Linked DNA regions of Caenorhabditis elegans. The protein of the gene in region 2 purifies or fractionates together with the protein of the main gene of each other region. This does not show direct contact. Each region holds a gene or a part of one and is shown on either strand. Other genes may lie near its edges. The genes, in order: semo-1, pcca-1, T02G5.7 and aco-1.

What was found.
Region 1: the proteins of pcca-1 (region 2) and semo-1 fractionate together in Caenorhabditis elegans (co-fractionation; one large-scale study listed by BioGRID). This does not show direct contact.
Region 3: the proteins of pcca-1 (region 2) and T02G5.7 fractionate together in Caenorhabditis elegans (co-fractionation; one large-scale study listed by BioGRID). This does not show direct contact.
Region 4: the proteins of pcca-1 (region 2) and aco-1 fractionate together in Caenorhabditis elegans (co-fractionation; one large-scale study listed by BioGRID). This does not show direct contact.

The regions. Positions count from the first base shown.
Region 1 is NC_003282.8:14,049,230-14,057,203, reverse strand, and holds semo-1 (Methanethiol oxidase), read right to left. Parts: upstream 6,005-7,974; 5' UTR 5,983-6,004; coding exon 5,809-5,982; intron 5,710-5,808; exon of another isoform or gene 5,689-5,709; intron 5,411-5,688; exon of another isoform or gene 5,390-5,410; intron 5,369-5,389; coding exon 5,271-5,368; intron 5,256-5,270; exon of another isoform or gene 5,235-5,255; intron 5,209-5,234; exon of another isoform or gene 5,187-5,208; intron 4,930-5,186; exon of another isoform or gene 4,909-4,929; intron 4,837-4,908; exon of another isoform or gene 4,812-4,836; intron 4,744-4,811; coding exon 4,373-4,743; intron 4,296-4,372; exon of another isoform or gene 4,275-4,295; intron 4,221-4,274; coding exon 4,018-4,220; exon of another isoform or gene 3,553-4,017; intron 3,468-3,552; exon of another isoform or gene 3,443-3,467; intron 3,380-3,442; exon of another isoform or gene 3,359-3,379; intron 3,233-3,358; exon of another isoform or gene 3,212-3,232; intron 3,036-3,211; exon of another isoform or gene 3,014-3,035; intron 2,896-3,013; exon of another isoform or gene 2,875-2,895; intron 2,710-2,874; exon of another isoform or gene 2,689-2,709; intron 2,672-2,688; exon of another isoform or gene 2,651-2,671; intron 2,409-2,650; exon of another isoform or gene 2,388-2,408; and 20 more.
Region 2 is NC_003284.9:7,656,996-7,662,902, reverse strand, and holds pcca-1 (Propionyl-CoA carboxylase alpha chain, mitochondrial), read left to right. Parts: upstream 1-1,916; 5' UTR 1,917-1,924; coding exon 1,925-2,001; intron 2,002-2,053; coding exon 2,054-2,148; intron 2,149-2,198; coding exon 2,199-2,398; intron 2,399-3,139; coding exon 3,140-3,790; intron 3,791-3,837; coding exon 3,838-4,125; intron 4,126-4,180; coding exon 4,181-4,885; intron 4,886-4,939; coding exon 4,940-5,098; 3' UTR 5,099-5,391; downstream 5,392-5,907. Other genes in the region: dhs-29 (NADP-retinol dehydrogenase), read left to right, coding at 329-497, 590-762, 805-907. UniProt on the Caenorhabditis elegans protein: This is one of the 2 subunits of the biotin-dependent propionyl-CoA carboxylase (PCC), a mitochondrial enzyme involved in the catabolism of odd chain fatty acids, branched-chain amino acids isoleucine, threonine, methionine, and valine and other metabolites.
Region 3 is NC_003280.10:7,073,991-7,077,721, reverse strand, and holds T02G5.7 (Acetyl-CoA C-acetyltransferase), read right to left. Parts: upstream 2,109-3,731; 5' UTR 2,096-2,108; coding exon 1,966-2,095; intron 1,917-1,965; coding exon 1,369-1,916; intron 1,324-1,368; coding exon 950-1,323; intron 779-949; coding exon 658-778; 3' UTR 534-657; downstream 1-533. Other genes in the region: kat-1 (Acetyl-CoA acetyltransferase homolog, mitochondrial), read right to left, coding at 2,313-2,433, 2,508-2,847, 2,897-3,032, 3,083-3,235, 3,332-3,595, 3,698-3,731.
Region 4 is NC_003284.9:11,338,130-11,343,866, reverse strand, and holds aco-1 (Cytoplasmic aconitate hydratase), read right to left. Parts: upstream 3,994-5,737; 5' UTR 3,992-3,993; coding exon 3,901-3,991; intron 3,722-3,900; coding exon 3,553-3,721; intron 3,503-3,552; coding exon 3,365-3,502; intron 3,318-3,364; coding exon 3,248-3,317; intron 3,076-3,247; coding exon 2,267-3,075; intron 2,219-2,266; coding exon 1,930-2,218; intron 1,883-1,929; coding exon 1,304-1,882; intron 1,224-1,303; coding exon 705-1,223; 3' UTR 540-704; downstream 1-539. UniProt on the Caenorhabditis elegans protein: Catalyzes the isomerization of citrate to isocitrate via cis-aconitate. Has probably no RNA-binding activity.

The DNA.
Region 1 (7,974 bases), on a different chromosome or scaffold from region 2:
TTCATTTTTGAGATATTCAGAAAAGTTGTAGGTCATTTGAATCAAATGTCTTTCATTTTTAAAACTTATAAACACACAGTGAAACTGAAAATAATTTTGTTTTTGAAAAGGATTATTTGGAAAGGTGACAAAACTGTTTTGAAAACAATTAATTTTGGCTCAGACGGGTTTAGTTTGCAGGAACTTTGTTAGTTTTCCACTACTGTCTATTCATATAATGAACTGAACAAAAAATCAAAAATGAAAAAGACAATCGATAAAAGGAGCCAGTTTTTATTGAGGAGAATTCCGGATGTTCATATATTTTCTTCCTACTTTCTAATCCATAATTTTTTTGTGCAATTCTACTAAATTCCCGTGATTTCAACTCGCCACATTCTTTGTACCATATATGATGATTGCTTCGTTCACATTACAAAAATCCCCTTTTTTCAATATTTATTCGCCTGGTTTCCCCCGTTTTTCTAGTTGCATCATGAGTTGAAAAATCCTTTCAATTTTTTTTTGAAAATCTGAATGAATTGTGATGAATATGTACAAGCTAATTTTTTATGCAAAACATTTTAAAAAAAACCAAATTAAATCCAAATATCCGATGTACAATCTCCACCGGGATAACGCATCTCGTGAGCCAAATAGGGACCTCCTTCAATTTTTCCAAAATCGATCAAAAAGTCTCGATTTATTTCCATTTTTCCAGATTCTGGATCAATGTTGACTTGAACCATTGTGGCGCCAGATCTGAAAAATGACAGGGTTGCAAACGCGCTCCATTGAGAAAGTAGGACGAATTTGGTGTTTTTTTTTTGAAATTATCATGAATTATTAAGCGGACGAAAAGAAACATTACCAAGTCTCGACGTGACTATTTTTTCAACGGAAAACGTGTGTGCGCCTTTAAAGAGTAGTGTAATTTCAAACTTTCGGTGCTGCAGCTATTGAACTGTTTTATCGATTTCTCATAGTTGTTCTTTTTTTTAAAAATTATTTAGACTAGAAAAACAAAGAAAAACATGAATTCGTGATAAAATCAACTCAGCAAGTGAGAGAGAATCGCTGCAAATATGAAAGATTTTTGAAACGGTGATTTTTTTTCTAAACAATAATTTCACCATGAGCGTATTTTTAGTGTAAACTACAAAATTCGAGATAATTTGTTTCGTAAGGACAAAGGTTCAATGAATAAAATGAATAAAAAAGAATTACATTTCGCGAATAGCCCCACAAGTGAGCGGAAATAGTTTGCTCAAAATATACTACATTTATGAAACGGTAACTTTTTTCTCAGAAATAATTCTAAATTTTTTCATAAGTAGCACTCACTTGACATGTTCTGGATAGAATTGATCATCCCATTTCTTGTATAAAGAAGTTGTAACATAAAGTCTCTTTCCATCCAATGACAACTGTAACATCTGTGGACCTCCTTCAATTTTCCGTCCCTTCACATAAAGTGCTTCAATTGGTTTTTCACCTTCTAGAACTTTTACATTTGATTCCGTATGTACACTTCCTCCAATATAAACTTGAGAATTCAATTTCACCTTCAATGGATCAGAAATGTCATATTGACGAATATCTCCATGAAGCCAACACGAGACATACAGGAAACGATCATCCATTGAGATAAGGATATCAGTTATAAGAGCTGGCATTTCTGGAAGAGCCCATCCACTTACTTTTTTAGAAGGAATGAAGGCAACGAGAGTAGCTGCATGGGTTGTTGAGTTCTGGAATTATTTGAAAAATTGAATGTTTCTCATTCAACGTATCACTGAAGATTTGTTTTCAGTAGTATTCAACAAACATTTGGCAACTATTTTCATACTGACTATCAGAATTTTGAGATTTTACAAGAAAAAAAATACAAAGTGTGTTAAAAGAACACCTCGAGAACAGGAAAGAAGCAACTTTTCTGAAAAACTTTATTTTCAAAAAGAGGTTATCGCGAACTGTCGAAATAAGTGTAGGTATATGCGCTGCCAAAATTATATTAACTTTTTGAAACAGTAAATTTTATGTTTTTTTGTAATTTTGCCTGAAAAGTTGGTGGCCATTCACAAAAAATAAATTTTTTGATCGAGCTTTTTTGTTTCAAGGGCACACTGCTGAAGTGGATATAATTTTATTTAAAACGTAATTTTTGTTTTCAAAAGTTTACACGAAAATCTACTGTTTCAACAAACTCATTTAACATCTCGCTAGAAAATTGTTTTCAATTGAACTGTGGCGTGACTTATCGACTGTTCTAAAAGAGCTTTAAAAATCATGAGACATTTAATGTTTCGATTGGCTGATTAAATGTTTCAAGTTGAACAAGGTGTCAATTTTTTAAAATTATATGTTTCAGATGATCTAGAAAACCCGGTGAGATTTCTAATTGTCACTCGAACTTGATTTCCAGTGAGACTATACTTTGCACAGAAAGGAATTTTTGTTTCGCAGCAATGCAGCAGAAGCAGAGATAATTTTACTTAAATCTGAAATCGGTTTTTTTTTCAAAAATTTAATAAAAAAGTCTATAACTCATTAAACATCTTACTTGAAAATTATTTGATTGCATTGACATTGCTAGAAAAACTAACAAAATCATAAAATTTTTAATGTTTCAATTAGCTGATTAAACGTTTTGGTTTGAATAAAGTTTCACTGAGACTATAATGTCCGCGCTTTAAAATTATTTTTTAGTGTCGAAAAAAAAATATTTTTTCTTTCTTTAATTGACCGAGTTTTCTTGATTCACAGTCACGCAGAAAAAATCGATTTGAACTTTTTGTCAAAACTAAATGCATGCTGCTTTTTAAAAAAAGGTTCATCAAAAATCTACTGTTTCACTAACCTAATTTTAAAAAACTCGGAAAAATACGTTTTTAGTATTTGCATCATTGTTAAACGTTTAATGAATCTATAAACTGATTTAAAAATAAATTATTAAAAACACTCAAAGATATTTTTTAAAAATTATTATATGTTTCAAGTAGTCTATAAATACTGAAACTATTTTGAATTAATATTGGTTCTTCCAAATGAAAAAAAAGAAAAATAGCAGTTTGGTCTACACAACTTTCTCTGAATTTCAAATTCAAATTATGCCCTAATCATGTATGCCAAAGCATTAAAGGATTTGAAATGTACGAAAGCGCTCTGATTTTCTCAAAATGTCCACATTTTTCTCGAAAGTTAGTCATTTTGCCAAAGAACTTGCTCAGAAAACTTCGGGAATGAAAAAAAATCAATTGAATAGAACGGAAGTTTTGATAACAACGTATTGAAACAATTTATTTATTTTTAAACTTGAAAGTTTCTAATGCAATGTTTCGGTGATCCCAGAAAGTTACACATCAGCTTACAACACTGCTATTCAATTACTGACAACGAAAATATCAGTACTATTGATAAATTGTCAACTCCCCCTACGAAGATCATTTATATTTGATTTCATACGTTTTTTTGGATTAGCAAATGAAATAAACTTCCAATAAGATACAATATGATAACCTATTGAAACAGTTTTCTAAAAGTTTTCTAAAAATTCTTTTCAATATTACTCACCTCCTCAACAGGATGAATTCTAAAAACCGGATCTATTTCAATAGATGACAGGAATACCAACAGAACTAAACTAAAAACAACAGAGTGTGTTATGAGGACAAATTGAAACTGAAAAGTTTTTTGAATGTTTCAATGTTTTCGTAAAATCACGGCATTGATCTCCAAAACTGTTTAACCATTTTCAATTGACTGAAACTTTTGAAAAATCAAACACTCTACTGAAGAGTTTTCATGGAATAAAATTTGAGTACTCTGGAAGAAGCAACAGTTTTGGAAACTTTGCTACCTCCCAATCAAGGATGTGCGGCAGTTCTCAAAATTTTCCGAGCTCGGCAAATTAGTTTTACAATAATTTTAATCTTGATTCTATTCTACGGTTTTAACATATTAATCTCAGTTTCTAAACAAATAATAACTTATTGAAACATTTCAATTTTTCTGAAAATTCTATTGAATATTACTCACCTCCTCAACAGGATGAATTCTAAAAATTCCTGATCCAAGAGCACATCCCACAAAAGCGTGCTCACTGGTTGGCTCATGGAGGAATCGAACTTCAAGTGGAAGTGCTCCAAGTGGCTGTGGTAGATCAATTGTTTGAAGATATTTCTTAGAGTCCCATTCGAAAATATGAACACTGTTTCCGTAGAGACCCTCTCCGACGTGAGCTGGAAAATTTCATGTTTTAAAAAAATTTGTAACTTTTTGGTTTTTAGTGATGCTGATGGCTCATGCCGCAAGGAATAATTTTAATTTTTGGTAAAATGAAACAAGAGGTGTTGAAACAGTGATTTTTTAAAAGTATTTTCAGTTTTCCCACCTGGATTAAATCCCTTTTTAATATGATTCGGTGATCCCCATTCCGTAGAAATCATCACATTTCTCCTTGGCTGGTACCAGAAATCATAGTTAAACGGAACAGTCTTCTCGTCAGCTGGCCATGTTCCTTTCGGCTCAAATGTCTTTCCATCCAACAACAAAAAGTTACCAGATGGAGTTCCATTAGCTTCTCCCAAAGTACTAATCATAATATTTCCATCGGCAAGACAATGTGAAGTATGTGGAAATGAAAGGTTTAGAGAATGAAGTTTTGATGGTTCAATTGTATGTTCAAGATAGATTTTACGCTCATTTTCTACGTTGATAATGTAGATACGGTCAGAGTTCAGGCAAGGAACGATCAAATGGGATCTGAAATTATTTAGAAATTATTCTACTGTTTTGGTTTGTTAATGAAAGTTCTCCGATCTAAAAATTTATTGATCTTTCAGTTGACTGAAATGTGAAGTTTGTAAATTCGAATTAAAAAACTGTTTCAAGAAATTGGTTCAAGTCTAACTAAATTTATAAAAATGATCTTCTCGTGAATGTCGCTCTGATCTGATTTTATTACAAAGCTTTTGCATCCGTATCAAGGGTCGTGGAAAAATTTAGGTTTATCAGTTTTTTCTTGAGAAAATCTAAAAATCAGAAAAACAAACAAGGGAGAATCTATAGATTTATCAAATATATGATGATTTTGTTTGAAGAATAAAAAAAAACATGTTATTGTGACCACTTTTTAAAAAAAAAAAGTCGGAAAACCACACTTCAAAAATGAAAATTTAATTAAAAAAATTTTTAAACAAAACTTGATGTTTCGAACAGTTGATTTAATTTTGCCACCTGTACTAATAGAGTAATAGTATCATCCTAAAACAATAAATATTTTAACTAACCTCTTCTCAGTTGGTTTGTCATGACAAGAAGAGCACGCATTCCATCCAGTATGATGGACTTCATCACCAATATGTGGCACATCAACTCGGCTGATCACCTGAAAATATTAATTTTACTGGAAAATGTTATGATTGATCGATCTCTAAATGCTAAAACTACGAGTGGATATCAATATTTTGAAACCGATAATTTTTTCAATTAAATAATAATTTTTAATTTTTACTATACAATCATATATCGTGCAAATCGATTTAAAACTCTTAAGCTTGAGATAACCTTGAAATCAGAGAGATCAAATCAAAGTTTCCTGATTTATTTTTGGCTGATGCAACAGAGATGAAAATTGCAAAATTGCAATTTTATTCCGGTAATTTGAACAATTTTTCTGATATAGAAACAGTTATTTCAAGCTTTATGGACGTGATCTACAAAAGACAATCAAAAAATTAGTTATTCCTAAAACTCAATACGTCTTTTTGAAACAGTATTTTTTTCCTCCAAACAAGAAAAAAAATCAACTTTACAAATAAAATTTACCTGACAAAAAGTGTCACTCTCTGGATTCACATCAACTGTAAAAATGGCATCAGGACCATCAGCTGCATTTGGAGCAGTCACAAATAAAACTTCTTCTCGTGGTCCTTTTATAGCATCAGCTGGAGATGCATATCCTGGACCACCATGACATTTTAAACCACAGTTTGGGGACATTTTGGTTTTTGGGATTTTTGATCTGCAAATATTGACTTTTTTTTAAAATCAAACAATATAATCAAATCAGTAGTATGGATTAAAAAGTTACATACATACAATTTTTTGCTGAATTAAACTATAGCAAAATTAAATTTTTTTCAAGTTTGACACTATTTTTGTAGCTTTGAAAACAAGTTGCACGAAAACTTTTGGGCAAACATTTTTAGCTTCAGAAAAAATTACTTTTTTTGTCACAGCTCTAAAAAGGGGAATGTAAAAATTAAAAAAAAAATACAGCGAAAATTTGTAAGTTAAAAAACTAACGCGGATGTAGCAAAACCAAAAAAAACTGAAAAATGTGAAACTTATAAACACACAGTGAAACTGAAAATAATTTTGTTTTTGAAAAGGATTATTTGGAAAGGTGACAAAACTGTTTTGAAAACAATTAATTTTGGCTCAGACGGGTTTAGTTTGCAGGAACTTTGTCAGTTTTCCACTACTCTCTATTTATATAACGAACTGAACACAAAAATCAAAAATGAAAAAGACAATCGACAACAGAAGGGGATGACATTGATAAGGTATCACTAGCTGTTCTATGTCTTATCTCTAGCAGTCATCAAGATGATTGTTCAATGAACCAACTAGAAATCTACTAGAAACACGTAGGAAATTATTCTGATACAAACTACAAGTACCGTTTCTGGTTGAGATTAATTTTTGAATTTAGAGATGAATTTGTGAACATTGTGTGACTGATTCAAAGTGCACAGATATTTTGATAACATTTTTTTTTAATTTTGGAAAACCGATCTGACTACAAAACGTGAATTTATTTGAAATTGAAAATAGTGAGTTTTTTCGTTTTTAATTTATCTTCTGATACTAGGCTTAACAGAAAAATAATAAACAATTATTCAGGGTTGTGCGCGCGACAAATTCCAAAATTTGAAGGACAAAATTATTGATGAAGATGGGATCAACTGTAAATTATTGAAAATCTCCATGAGGATTCCTTGAAACAGTAAAAAAATGTATCGCGAATATAGCAAATTTTTAGAAAAACTCAGCTTGGGTTAATTAAATTTGCAAATTTCTTATTACGTTTTCCACTAATAAAAAGGTTTAAACAACAATTTTATTTATTTTTTATTTATTTTAGGTGCTGCAAACGGCAAACGGCAAATGTCACTCGCTAAAAAAAATTGGTCGACGATGAAAAAAAAACTTTCGGCGTCTTTCAGCATGCGAAATTTTTTTTATTTTTATTTTTTTTTTATTATTGGAAATATAAACAAATTTGAATATTAAGTTGTTCATATTTCCTCATGAGAACAGTCATTCAAATCCACCTTAAGCATAAAAATCTCCACAAATATATGGGGAAATTACAGTTAATATTGCTACATGTTAATACTGTTACAATACTAATAGAAAACTCATACCAATAGTAAAATGAGGCATGTTATCAATCTTTCATTTGAATTTTATTGGATTTTCACATTGCTTCTCATTGTATTATATAAAATTTATTGAAACGCCTAATGAAGTTTTAGTGAAATAGTTAAACATTTTTTTGCAAACTTTAAGCAAACGTAAGCCGTTAATAGCTTAACTGTTAACTGGTGCAATTTTGCTTAAATTTGCAGTTTTGAAGTTTTTCTACAATCGGTAAATTTATTCACATTTCAAGTTAGTCTCGATTTGAAATGCAAGTTGAGCGCTTTTAATATGTTTTTTTCACATAAAATTTAATATTGGGGTTTTTTTCAATTTTTCCGATTTTTTAAAAACAATCAATTTTCAAAATTTCTAAGTCAAAATTTCTAATCAAGACAAATTTGGTTACAATTTTTTAAAACATTTTTTGCAAAAATTTTGGCACGGTGAAGTACGGTGTTTCAAAAAAAAGTATACAAAACAGTGAAGCAAGCAAAAGTCTGTGAATTAGACAGAAATGAAAATTTAAAAATACATAAAACTGAAGCGCAACGGTGGGAAATTTGT
Region 2 (5,907 bases):
AAAAATCAATGCCCTGTTTTCGCGTCTTATTATTATTTTTTTGAGAACTGTACAACTTTTCGTATTCGCAAAAAGAGCTGCCCGAATTGTTTTTCTGTCTGCGTCTAGTTTGTCTTTACACGCTCTATTATTGAGGTCACCATTGGTGTCCTTATTGATTCAGATAGTATCTCCTCTATTACACGAAGACACCCCTTCTTCTATCGTTTGAGAGAATCAAAAAAAAAAGAAACCAACTATTCATCTCCACTTACTTTTTGATTCTCGTACACTATGTAGAATATAGCCAACTAATGATAACATGATAAAATCTAATTTTTTATTTCAGTTTCTGCTCTCTTCAAGTGTGCCGGTCGCTTCGTAATTATTTGGGTGTTAAGTATTCCGCTTCAGATCCATCATTTTGCAAACTGACACTTATTGAAATGTCGGACTATTACAAAACTCCACAACTCTTCTGGTGGCTCCTCATTGTTCCAGCTCTGGCTATCAACTACGTAAGTTTTAAGGTTTCAAGTGAAAAAAAACTATGTTTGATAAAAATAGATATTTCAAAGCTTCCACTTCGATCTATATCTTTGATTTTTAGATTTCTTACGCCCATCCAGCAGCAGCACTTAATATTCCATTAATTGGATCTCTCGTCCATAAGATTGGAACTGAGTATCCATTTGTTGCTCTTTTAACCAACCTTTTCGCCCTTGTAGCACACGCCGGTGAAGCTCTTTACGCTCTTTATCTCTGCCATAAAGCCAATATCAGGTGAACTTTTTCAGTTGATTTTATAACAAATTGTATTTTCAGTTTTGCTTCTACCGCAAAATGGGTTGTCCAAACGTTTATTCTTGGTTTCCCGTCACTCTCTATTCTCAGTCGATACGAAGCCAAGCAGAGGAAGAATAATTGACTAGTAGTTGAAAATGTGTCTGATAGTTCCTAAAATGTATTAATTTTGTTTTTTTTTGCCAATGCAATGAACGACCATTTATTATCAAATAAAATGAAGAAACTCAACGAAACATTCTCAAATAAACAACATGTCGAGAGAAAGGCCAGTGTGTGCAAAGACGCAGAGAAGATCACTGCAAACGCGCTCCGTTGAGGTTGCTGTGTGAGATATCTTGGACAACCCCGCGCATTATTGGACTGTTTTTTGTTGTTTTATTGATCATGTAGTGGTCAATGAGCAGGTCATTCTTGCCTTCGCTGTTGCCAGAGAAGGTCGGCTTTTTTCTTCCCTGTTTTTGGTGATTTTGCCGTTTTTTTTTGTGTATTGAGTGTACTTACTGTGTGAGTCTTTAGATTTTCCGTTTCACGCATACACGTTTTTTGTAAAATTATTAGTTTTTGTAGGACTCTCGGTTCAAAAATTATAGAAAACGTGCAGACTGGACTATGAATTATATTCGAAGTTCTTCATTGTAACATTGTGAGGTCGTCTTTCCAACTCTCAACCTATCCCGGTGATTTTCTCGGTTTCTCTGCGTGTGTGTGTTCAGAGGACGAATACGTGCAAAATCGCAAGAAATGGGCAAAGAGAGAGAGCGGGGCAACTGCGCTTTGGGTCCATCAGAAAAGAGAGATAGACAACTTTTGTGAAAATCTTGTTGCGGGACAAGGGCACCGCACTTCTTGCTTTTCTCTTTTCTGGCCAGGCTATTTACTTCGTTGCTCAGTTGCCATTTCTGCATGTTTTTCTTATTTTTTCTACTAGTCGAAGTTTTCCTTCATAATCAATATAAAGAGAGTTTTCAAGGCATCGCTGTTTATCACTTAACTGACCAAATCAAATCGGTCGTCCTTATCTTTCTCCATCGAAGTTATACACGAAACTGTTTTTCTCCATCATCTTACTTTTTTCTTTTGTGAACTGCTGATGTCGTTGTTCATTTTATCATGAAAATCATTGTTTTTAGGTTGAACCATGCTCCGTGCTGCATCCAGTATCCGCGCTGTGGCCAATCGTGGATTGGCAACTGCTGCTGTTGCCAGACCAGGAGTGTAAGTTTCTGAAAGTTGTATTCGGTTTTGAGATCAATAGGTTCAATTTCAGACCACTTGATGAACGTGAGGGAAAGGAGATTTACACTACTGTAGGAATCGATTACAATGAGCCAAAGTTCGACAAGATTTTGATTGCCAATAGAGGTAATCTCAAGCATCTAAAAGAATCTTAGATTTAATCGTCTATTTTACAGGAGAGATTGCGTGTCGCGTGATCAAAACTGCCAGAGCTATGGGAATCAAGACAGTGGCCGTTCACTCAGATGTCGACAGCAACTCGCTTCACGTAAAGATGGCCGATGAGGCTGTATGTGTTGGAGAAGCTCCAACTGCCAAATCCTACCTACGTGCTGACCGCATCTTGCAAGCTGTCGAGGACACCGGTGCTCAAGCGGTAAGAATTCTAACGTGTCTATGTAATGGAAGGATAAACCGCAAAAATCAAATATCAGAGGAGAATGTAAATTCTGTGGCATGAATCTACATGCACAGTAGCACAAACATATTACCCAGACATCCGACAGAGAATAGAGTTTTTGCAAAAGTTCAGAACACCGCTCCAAATCAACTACTACTGTTCAAGAAGTCAGAGCGTTCGCGCTTAACTTCAAACGGAGAGAATAGCTTAAAAAAGTTGCTGACTGAAAAAATGTGAAATAAAACATTCCCTACATTTTGATAATGCTCAATTTTTTCATGCTCATATCACCTGGCTGAGATATGAGGGTTTGAAGTGATGAAGCTCTAGAGTTCCCTCTTATGGCCTGTTGAAAACTGTGGTGAGGTCAAATTATGAAAAGCACGAATTACCGCATTTTTCAGAGGACAAGCTAGGGTCAAACAGTTTGACAACCCGAGCGAGAGCTTTTGGCTGTGTAGCAGCTTAAGATTTACCGTAATATATTAGAAACCAGTTACTTGTAATATGCACGTGATATTCACCTACTTTCACTACGAAACACAACAAAACAAAAATTCTGTGACAAGTGACCAAGTGGTCTCTTTCCAGTCTCTAGCATCTCGCGTGTTTCATTTTCAAATAGTCAAAGTCAAATGACGAGAGATAGATTGCAAGTGTCTTCTGTTATGTTTTTCAAACAGAACTGCTAAAAACGTTGAAAACATATATTTGCAGGTTCATCCAGGATATGGATTCCTTTCCGAGAACACCAAGTTTGCCGCCGAGCTTGAGAAGGCTGGAGCCAAGTTCATCGGACCAAACTCTAAGGCTATTCTTGATATGGGAGACAAGATTCATTCAAAGAAAATCGCTACCGCAGCCCGTGTCAGCATGATTCCAGGATATGACGGAGAAATTGCTGATGAGGATATGTGCGTGAAAGTCTCCCGCGACATTGGATACCCAGTCATGATCAAGGCTTCTGCCGGTGGTGGTGGAAAAGGAATGCGAGTTGCCTGGAACGACAAGCAAGCTCGTGAAGGATACCGTTTGTCCAAGCAAGAAGCAGCTTCTTCTTTCGGAGATGATCGAATGCTCGTTGAGAAGTTCATTGACAACCCACGGCACATTGAGATGCAGGTGCTCTGCGACAAGCATGGAAACGCTTTGTGGCTCAACGAGCGTGAATGCTCCATTCAGAGAAGAAACCAGAAGGTTATCGAAGAGGCTCCAAGCAGCTTTGTGCCACCAGAGATGAGACGCAAAATGGGAGAACAGGCCGTTCAGCTCGCCAAGGCTGTCGGTTATGACTCTGCTGGAACCGTCGAATTCCTCGTTGATTCTCAGAGAAACTTCTACTTCTTGGAGATGAACACTCGTCTTCAGGTAATATCTCAGTATGGCCTAAATGTTTAATTTTTAAATACTCACAGGTCGAGCATCCAATTACCGAGTGCATCACTGGAATCGATATTGTCCAACAGATGCTTCGCGTTTCCTACGGTCACCCACTTCCAATCACCCAAGAGCAAGTGCCACTCAACGGATGGGCTTTCGAGTCTCGTGTCTACGCCGAGGATCCATACAAGGGATTCGGTCTTCCATCAGTCGGACGTCTCTCCAGATATGTTGAGCCAAAACACGTCGACGGAGTTCGTTGCGACTCTGGAATCCGTGAGGGATCGGAAATCTCTATCTACTACGATCCACTTATCTGCAAGGTAAAGGATAAATTAGCATTTAGATAATTTCAAGTGACTTACTTTGTAATTTCAGCTCGTTACGCACGGAGACAACCGTGAACAGGCTCTGAACCGCATGCAAGAGGCTCTCGACAACTACGTCATTCGTGGAGTCACTCACAACATTCCACTTCTTCGTGATATTGTCCAAGAGAAGAGATTCCGTACTGGAGACATTACCACCAAATATCTTCCAGAAGTGTACCCAGAAGGCTTCCAGGGAACCAGCCTCTCACCAAAAGAGCAAGACGTTGTCATTGCCTTTGCCTCGGCTCTCAACGCTCGTAAACTTGCTCGTGCCAATCAATTCTTGAACCAGAACAAACAACGTAGCACTCATGTGGCTTCCTTCTCGAAGACCTACAAGTTCGTGTCTTCTCTGCCAGTGAAGGAGGGTGAGAGGCCAACCGAGCACGCTGTTGAAGTCGAATTTGTCGAAGGAAGCGCCAACAAGGCCCAAGTTCGTATTGGTGGAAAGACTGTGACTATCAGTGGAGATCTCAACTTGTCTCATCCAGTCAACTCAATTGAAGTCGATGGAGAGCACATCACCACCCAAATTGTTGGCAAGCGCGCCGGAGAGATCACCGTTCTTTACAAGGGAACTCCATTCAAGGTCAAGGTGCTTCCAGAGCAGGCCGTCAAGTACTTGCAGTACATGAAGGAGAAGGCCAAGGTTGACTTGTCCACAGTTGTGCTCTCACCAATGCCAGGAGCAATCAAGAACGTCAACGTTAAGGTAACATTATTTTATCACTACCATTAGATGTGCTAAAACTGATTCAATTTACAGCCAGGAGATATGGTTTCCGAGGGACAAGAGTTAGTTGTCATGGAGGCTATGAAGATGCAGAACAGTCTTCATGCTGGAAAGACCGGACGCGTCAAGGCCGTCAATGTGAAGGTTGGAGCCACAGTCGACGAGGGAGAGGTGCTCGTTGAGCTCGAGTAGATTATTCTCACTGAACCTGAATTTTTTTTGTTGTTTTAATTACCGTTTTTTTCCTAATTTTGTACAATTCAAAGCCGCCACTATCTGGTATGGAGATTGATAATTTCATTCGCAGTTTCTCAAATTTCAAGCCATATTTATATTTTATTTTTGATGCCATTACCCTCACCTGTTGTATTCCAATCATCACGGACGTATTTCTCAGCCACCACCCTGTTTTGTTGCCCCAAGTATTATGTAGTGAATAAATATTGTAGAAGGCATTGCAAAAAGGTTGTTATATGAAGAAAAAAAAGCATTTGCTCATTTTTTGAACTTTTCAATTAGAAAATTATATATCTATTCTGTTTCTACATAACATAAGTGCAGATGTTTTGTTGATTAAATTTTCTATTTTTTGTGAAATAGCTTGTGTAAACTAAACATTTTACCATAGTCCATAATTGAAGCTCGGAAATAAGCGTTGTGAAAAAACTTGTCAGTTTGCAAATCTGTTTTAAAAATTTCAGATTTCTCTTTTTTATGTTCTTCTTTCATGTATCTCAATTTCAAAATATTGAATAGCAGTGCCAATTGATTATTCTGAAAGAAAATTGACAAAAAGACGAGTTGAGACGAGAAGATGAAACAGAAAATGATGGGAAGAAGAAAAAGAAGAATTTTTCTTCCAGTTTTTTTTGCCGTTTTCTGTTCTTTTCAATCTCATTTTAACTCACGTTTTTTGGTTTCGTGTGAGTAGTGTCACACTGATATTGTTAAATTCTGTTAACTTCTAGTTGAGAAAATAAATAATGTCAATATTTTAATAA
Region 3 (3,731 bases), on a different chromosome or scaffold from region 2:
TTGAAGTCAGTGCAATATAGGCGGGTCTTGCAGATCCTTCGCACCTACCACAACATCATAACTGGAAACTTCCACTACCCAAATGTGTCATCGTCGGTGAAGAAAGCTGTAACTCCAAGATACCCCTACATGCTCAGATCTGTTGGCGAAACAAACAAAGGATTCCTCAGAGCCAACCTCGCCACCTGGAACCGCCTAGCAAAGCAAATCCCGGAAAAATTAAATCGCTCTATGTTTGCTTCCCGGTTAAATTCTTCCCCCCTTAATATTCTCATTCCCCCAACTTGATCTCTCAAACTAATAATGGTTTATGGGATCATTTTATCATCCACCAATTCTTCCCTGTGATTATTTGTATACGATCTCCCCTTATATGTTTTGCCTTGAAGACGTGAATGAATGATATATCTCAAAAGAAAAATGCTTTTCCGATTTTTCCAGTATATCTCTTTTGAGATGGCTCAAAACCATTCCTGATAATGTACATATTAACCTTAATTCATTTCCCAATCAATAACACGTATGCACCATTTGAGAATAAACATTTATGTGACAAGAACCTTAACTATTTATAAATACGTAATCGAAATTTGTTGTAAAAGTGAATCAAGGAATGATGAATAGAAGACCAGAAAACATTTAGGCAAGAGGTTCATATTACAGTTTTTTGATGAGCACTGCTGTGGCTTCTCCTCCTCCGTTGCAAATTGCAGCTACACCGAGCTGTCCTGGAGCTAAAGAATATGCAAGGGAGTTGACGATTCGGAGACCAGACATTCTGAAAATTATTAAAATTAATATAGGTTTGTTCGGACTTAAAGTTTACTTTAAAATTTGTATGTTTTGTTTTTGTGTTTTAGAATGTTTTTTTGCTATCAGAATTTTCTCTGTACACATTCTAATTTTTCCGAAAACGCTCACTGAAGTTTGAATCAACAAAAAAACTTACCCAAGTGGATGCCCAATCGCTACTGCACCTCCTTTTACATTAACAACACTTGGCTCAATATTAAGTTCTTTGATGAAAGCAAGAACAGTGACGGCAAATGCTTCGTTGAGCTCCCACAATGCAATGTCTGAAACTTGGAGCCCGCTTTTTTTGAGAAGAAGACGAACGGCGTCCACTGGTGCCACGGTGAAATCAATGGGAGCTCTTCCAGCTTCAGCAAATGCCACGAGTTCAGCAAGTGGATGAGCTCCTTGTGGAAGAGCATTCTCTCCGACAACGACAGTTGCGACAGCTCCATCATTAAGCGAAGATGCATTGGCCGGTGTGATGGTTCCAGTGCCGTCACGAACGAAGACTGGTTTCAAAGAGGAAACCTAAATAAGTTTAATATTTTTGATAAACATTTTCTTTCTGCATACCTTTGACTCGATCAGTTTCTTATACTCCTCATCTTCAGTGATCACTACTTCCGATCTCGAAGTCTTAACACTAACTGGTACCACTTCTTCCGAAAACTTTTCAGAACTCCATGCATTTGAAGCTTTTTTATAACTTTCAATAGCATATGCATCTTGTTCTTCTCTAGTAATTCCATAATCTTTTACAGTCTTCTCAGCACATAATCCCATTGGACCTTTCTCTTTAATATCTTCAAGTCCATCCTTCGAGATTCCATCTGTCATCTGGATTCCTCCAAATGGAATTTCTCCTCTCGGCACGTAAAATGGAACTTGACTCATATTTTCAGTTCCAACAACAAGAATAGTGTCATAATATCCTGCTTTGATTTCCACAGCTGCTGTCACCAAGGCTTTCATCGAAGAAGAGCAAACCTTGTTCACCGTAACAGCTTGCGTTGTTACTGGAAGACCAGCCGACAAAGAGATCTGTCGGGTCACATTTTGTCCTAGACCGGCCGGAAGTACGCATCCACCAATTACTTCTTCGATTTTCTCCGGAGCAACTCCTAAAAATATTTAATATTTGTTTCAAAATTTCATTATCAGTAATTTAACCTGATCGTTCAATTGCTGCCTTTGCAGCGACCGTTCCGAGCTCAACTGCGCCAAAGTTAGCGAAAGATCCTCGGTAAGCTCCGATGGGAGTGCGAGCTCCACTCAGAATGAAAACTTTTTTATCCGACATTGCGATAGACTGTCTGAACTTTGGATTATTAGAAAAATCGCATACGAATAAAAAAAGATAACTGAAATTGGTTTGAAACCAATGAAAGAGAAGTAGATAATCAAAATAATAAATGAATCTATTTACCGGAGTTTCGATATGAGCGAAAAATACATAAATACAAGCTAATCGTGAAAAAAGGTAACAAACTTTAAACGAAAAAAGTTAAATTATAAATCTATAATTTCTGGATAACCATTCCACTTGAGCCACCACCTCCATTGCAAATGGCAGCAACTCCGATTTGGCCACTTTTGAGTGTGTGCACAAGATGAGTGATGAGGCGGGCTCCGGACATTCTGAAAGAAAAATAATCGATAACAAATTTACGATAAGAATGCGGAAAGAACGGTCAACTGATATGGCAACATACCCGATGGGGTGACCAATTGAAACAGCTCCTCCATGTGGGTTCACAAGGGATGGATCGACTCCTAGTTTTTTGATGAAAGCAAGGGGAACACATGAGAAGGCTTCATTAACTTCCCATTGAGCAACATCTGATTGCTTCACTCCTGCTCTTTCAAGAATTTTTGGGAACATCAAAGTTGGTGCTACAGCGAAATCGAGTGGGTGCGTGGCGGCATCTCCATAAGCCAAAATTCGGGCCAGAGGCTTTAAGCTTTGCTCGGAAACTGCTTCCTGTGAGGCAACAATGACAGCAGCTGCACCGTCGTTCAATGTTGAAGCATTAGCAGCAGTGATAGTTCCGTCTTAATATATTATGTTGATTTCAATTTTCACGATAAGAATAGTACAAACCTTTCTGGAAAACAGTTCTCAGCGAGGTGAACTTGTCGAAATTGACTTTTGTGAACTCTTCATCTTTATCAACAATCGTGACTCCCTTCTTTGATTTGACGTTCACTGGCACCACTTCTGGTCCGATATTTCCATTCTAAACAACATGGAATCATAAAACGCACAAAGAGCAATCAGTTGACAAACCTCCCATGCTTTAGCTGACTTTTTGTAGCTGTTGATAGCATATTCGTCTTGGTCTTTACGTGTAATTCCCATTTCTTTTGAAGTCTTCTCTCCGCAGTTTCCCATGTGAACTTTATCATAAGCATCGGTCAGTCCGTCTTTGACGATTCCATCCTGAATAAGAAAATGTGAGCATTGATTTCTTTTAAAGAAGTTTAAAGACTATTTTTAGACAATTTAATATTTTTTAGAAAAATAAATTAAACTCACAATCACTTGAAATCCACCATATGGGATCTCTCCTCTTTGAACATAAAATGGTACTTGTGACATGCTCTCCATTCCTCCGCCAATGGCAAAATCTTGATGACCGGTTTGAATTTGCTGGGCAGCAAGAATGATTGCTTTCAGCCCAGAAGAGCACACTTTATTGACGGTGGTAACAGCAACCGAAAGATCGAGTCCGGCTCCAAGAGCTGCTTGACGAGCGGGAGCTTGACCAGCATTTGCTTGACAGACTTGACCAAGGAACACCTGAAATTGAGGCATTTTAAGATTAAATCGGTAGTTTTTGGAAGTGATATAGAATTTCAGATATTACTAGTATAGAAAAATGCAAACAAAGAACACACTCGCCTCCTGAATTGAACTCGGCTTCACTGCTCCACGC
Region 4 (5,737 bases), 3.7 Mb from region 2:
CGTAAAGTTATGCAAAATTTACTTATTTTGAAATAAAAATATCTTTTGCGCTGGCAAGGGTCTCATATTACTTTAGTGATGTTAGCTATAGGGCAACTGAGATTTTATTGGGTGAGTGTGCACTTTTAAATGGGACTGAATAGTACGAATGAACTGCTGAAATGTTAGTCTATAAAAAGTCAGTTCAGTACAAATAAATACCGTAATCTCTCTGTTCATTTTGTTCAAACAACTAGAATGTTTGAGCTTTTACACCCAATTTTGTTGTTCTCAATGAAGATGTTTTCTTATTTATTTATACTCTTATGACTGAGAGAACAAAAAATACAATTAGTGATGACGACCTTTAAGAAAAAGTTGCAAAATGTTATATCCTAAACACTGTCAAACTGGAAGCACATTTCTTTCTCCTATAAATAGTAGAAATACGTTATTTGTTGAGTTTTAGTAAAATATTACGAATTTAAGTGGTTTTAGCAAAACAGAGACGCCAAAACTAAAATAAATTTGACCATCCACATGTTTTATAGCCCAATTATAAAAAGTATTGATTTATTTCGTTGCTCCAAATCACAAATTTATTGGACTTCAAACATGTTCATAAAATATCACAGAAAATAGAGAAGGATTGATGCATCGAAAAGTAAATAGTTATCTAAAAATAGAAAAAATTGACTTTCAAAAATTTAAGCTAAAATAACAGTTTATTGGATCAACTTTCTGATCATGTATTGGAGGATTCCTCCGTTGCGGTAATAGGTGAGTTCGACTTCAGTGTCAAATCTACAGATGACTTGGAAAACTGAACCATTGGATACATTCACATCAATGAGCTGTCCTGGCTTCAAATCGTCTGGAACTCCAATTGAGAATTGTTCTTTTCCAGTAAGTCCGAGACTATCAGCGTTTTGACCAGCTTGATATTGGAATGGAATAATGCCCATTCCAATCAGGTTGGAACGATGAATTCTTTCGAAGCTTTCAGCGATAACAGCCTTGACTCCTTGGAGGAATGGCCCCTTTGCAGCCCAATCGCGAGATGAGCCACATCCATATTCTTTTCCAGCAAGAATGATGGCTGGAATTCCGGCATCCTTGTACTTTTGAGCAGCGTCAAAGATGTCGAGCTCTTCTCCAGATGGCACATGGAGTGTAATAGGACCAACCTTCGACGCAAGCTTATTAACAAGACGAATGTTGGCGAATGTTCCACGAGCCATGATCTGAAATTTAAAAAAAAACGTGATGTGTTGTTAAATTCAAAGTTTTTAGAAAATCATATATTGAATGAATAAACTCTTACCTCATCGTTACCACGGCGAGCTCCATAAGTGTTGAAATCTCTTGGCGTTACTCCACGTCCAGCAAGGAATCTGGCGGCGGGAGAGGTCTTCGAGATTGATCCAGCTGGAGAAATATGATCAGTGGTTACCGAGTCACCGAGATTCAACAAAACGTGTGCGTTTACAATATCGGATTGTGATGGAAGCTCGCTAGTCATTCCATCAAAGAATGGAACCTTCTTGATGTAAGTAGAGGCATCGTCCCATGGGTAAAGCTTGACAGCCGGGCACTCCAATTGTTGCCACTCCGTGGATCCAAGCTCAATGTTAGCGTACACCTCGCGGAAGAATTGTGGCTTCACGAATTCCTCCTCAAACTTGGCAACTTCTTTTCTGGTTGGCCAAATGTCGGCTAGTCGGATTTCCTTTCCGTCAGGAGTAACAGCAAGAACTCCGTTAATGTCAACATTGACGTTTCCGATGATCGAGTAAAGAACAGCCAAAGGTGGAGATGCCAAATAGTTAGCACGAACATGTGGGTGAATTCTTCCTTCAAAGTTTCTATTTCCAGAGAGAACTCCGGCAACGACAAGGTTATTCTGAATAAACAATTATTTTGAAAAGAAAACAGTAGTTTCAACAATACCTCTTCGATGGCCTTTGTTACTGGCTCATCAAGTGGCCCAGAGTTTCCGATGCATGTCATGCAACCATATCCAGCAATATTAAATCCAATCTTCTCAAGGTATGGAAGAAGACCAGATGCTTCCAGGTATTTTGTGACGACTCCTGATCCTGGAGAGAGGGATGTTTTCACATATGGTTGGACATTCAATCCCAACTCAACAGCCTTCTTGGCAACCAATCCAGCTGCGAGCATGACACTTGGGTTACTGGTGTTTGTGCAGGATGTGATGGCAGCAATAACTACGGATCTGGAAGAAACATTATTTTTTGCATGTACTTCTAATTTATAGTCTTACCCGTGAGTAAGCTCTGCGGTTCTTCCGTGGTTGGTAATTGTGACAGATTTAGTGGCATCTTCTGGTTTAAGGCCAAAAGCTTTGAAGGAGATCTTATCAGTGAGCCCTTTGGAGAAATCTTGAGCCAGAGAAGCAAGCTCAACTCTGTCATGTGGACGCTTAGGTCCGGAGACACTTGGCACTACACTTCCAAGGTCCAATTTCAAAGTGGTAGTGTATGTTGGGCGGTAGGAGTCATCGGTGAAATTGACGAACATGCCAACAGACTTGAGGTATTGTTCCACGCGTTGAGTATAATCGGTATCACGTCCGGTTTGAGTGAGGTAGTCAATGGTACGGCTATCGACTGGGAAGAATCCAATTGTTGCTCCATATTCGGGGCACATGTTAGCAATTGTTGCACGATCGGCGATGGAGAGCGATGCAACTCCAGTTCCAAAGAACTCAACAAACTTTCCAACAACTCCGAGATCACGAAGGTTCTTTGTGATTGTAAGAACCAAGTCGGTACTGGTAACGGTATCACTGAGAGTTCCAACCAATTCGTATCCAATAACTTCTGGAATAACCATGGAAATTGGCTGTCCGAGCATCACAGCTTCAGCTTCAATTCCTCCAACACCCCATCCAAGAACACCACTTCCATCAATCATTGTGGTGTGGGAGTCGGTTCCAACGACGGAGTCAGGGTAGAGAACGCCATCCTTTCCAACAAACACTGTTCTGGCAAGATATTCAAGATTAACCTGATGGACGATTCCAGATCCTGGCGGTACAATAAGAAGATTGTCGAAAGCTTTGGATCCCCACTGAAAATAATTTGATAATACAATTTCATTTAAGCTATCTGAATATTTGTGTGTTCATTGAACAAAGTAGTGATAAGGGCAATCAAATGCATAGCGTGATTTTCCGAAAAGTGATGGGGAGAGTAAAACGTGACAGTGAAACTCTGAAAGTGGCATTTTCACCTTTCCTTACCTTCAAAAAGTTGAAGCGTTCTCTGTTTCGCTCAAACTCAATGGACTGATTCTTGGCAAGGGCTTCAAGGCTGAAAAAAATACAATAAATGTATAAACCAGGTTGCGCAGAACGTACTTTCCGTAGTGATCGACTTGCACGGAGTGATCGATGACAAGGTCAACTGGGCATACTGGGTTGATCTTGGCCGGGTCAGCACCCATATTTTGAACGGCGTCACGCATAGCGGCAAGATCTACGACGGCTGGAACTCCACTGAAAATTGCTTGATGTACATAAATTTGGTAATTTATTTTCAAGCTCACGTAAAATCTTGGAGAATAACGCGTGCTGGTTTGAAAGGAATCTCAGCTTGGTTACGCTGGCTGTTTTTCCAATCAAGAATGGTTTCCACGTCCTTCTTCAATACATGGAACTCATCGCAATGACGAACTGCGGCTTCCAACAAGTACTTGATGGAGATTGGAAGCTCGTCTGAAAATTTTGGGAAGGTTTTTAAAGAAAATGATTTATATATGACTTTAACATAATGAATTTATTCTTGCTCGTCGAAATTCGCTGTTTTTTTTTTCGTTTACAAAAGTTCCAAAATTGAATATATGCAGATATATTTTAGATAGATTGAGAATAGGATGTAAAATAGTTATACTTACTGTAACGAGCATCATTGAGACCATTCAAGTCAAAGTATTTGTAGACGTTATCTCCGATAGCCAAGTTGCGGATAAGGTTGTTGAAAGCCATATCTGGAAAGTTAGATATGGAAAAAATTTAAAAAAAAAAGGATTTCGATAGAAAAGAACGACAAAAGTGCATTGTAATGAAAAAGAGAATGCGAGGAAAACTAATGGAGGCGTGCCGAATCGGTGTAGTCGACCTGTCCGTTTTTGTGTGTGTCTGAGCGCGCTTAGTGTGTGTGGCTGTATTGAATGTGAGAGCGTTTTGTGTATGTTGTGTATGTGTGTGTGTGTGCCAAGGTCGGTCGAAGATAGTCATCTTTCATATCAGCTAGGACGAAATTGCGTCGTTGTCCAGTGTTTCTAGAAGGCTAATGTCGAGAAAAAAGGCGGCGAGAAAAAACGATACCATCTCAGAACTCAAGAAACAGTCAAAAAAGGTAAATGTGCACAGTGAAATAGTGTGCGGTGGGAAGAGAAGAAGAGGGCCGATCTGCATACACGTTGCGTACTTGACCCAAGAGGTTACGACAATGTTGCAGTGTGGTTTTTTTGAGAATTGAAACAATGCGCTCTCAGACATATTGAGAGATAAAAAGAAAATTCAGAGATTTGTGTCCGATATTTTTTATCTTTTGTTATCATTGATATCAGATCATTTAAAAAAGATTATCAAGTGGGAGAACTTTGCACAGATTGATGGTGAGGTGGAAATTCCTTTGGGAAACTGAAGAGCAAAAATTCGTTTTATTTTTCAAAAAAAAAAACATTTGAAAAAATGCAATCGAATCCATGCTATAACTAAACTAATACACTAGAATCTAGAATCACTAGAATCTGTAGTTCACAAAATTCATAGAGTACGGAATTTCTGTTAGCGTGACTAAAATTTACTAAGTTAAAAAAACAGAAGATGTTTGAGCACAAGCTGGTTGGTTTTTTGATTGATATTTTTGTTTCATATGTCTCTGTTCTTCATGATAATTTACTATATATAATATAAAGCGCTTATTCTGTGTGTCCATAGTTTGTAGTCTATGTAGTCTTTGTAGTCTGTGAAGTTTTGACTTCTGGAGGGATAGTGAGTTGGGGTTAGTGTAGGGATATAGTCGGGGTACTGTAGTGGTACAATAGTGGTACGGTAGGAATACTGTAGGGTTACGGTAGTTTCATAAAAATTGATTTTCAGCCCTAGAAGTCGGGGGCCGCGCCGAAGGTGCGGACCACGGCTGGTTCATAATATTACAATTACCGTTTTTCATAGTTTACCGCGTATCATTGTATAACCATGTTTTATTCAGAAAGACTTTGCATATATATTTTTATTTGATCCCAAGTTGAGATTCATAGAAACGTATTTTATTAAAATTGGTCTCACAATCATTCCCCGTATTACCTCTAGTAGCCTTTTAAGTTGTAAAAAGCAAGACAAGTGCTAACATGTGTAAACGTTTTGAACAAGTCTAGGTTTATTTTTTCAGGAATTGAAGAATTATCTGAAAATTCTACAAGGTACGCCTTGTCTTGTCCCGAATTATTGAAATACTGATTGAAGTTCTAATATTAGGATGACTCTTAGAAATGCAAGAAAATTACACACTGTATAACTAATAGGGAGTACACTTGGTAAATGAATAACACTGTTAAAAATTCTGAAAACTACCAAAAAAAAAACTCGGCTTGTTTTTTTAAAAGTATTTTCGTGTGTTTCGATGATGTTGCATTAGACAGTGTCATAGTTCTACGCTGAGATCCTATTAATGTATTCACAACAACCTAGTCATCAGTGTACATCAGAAAAACGTAGGATTCG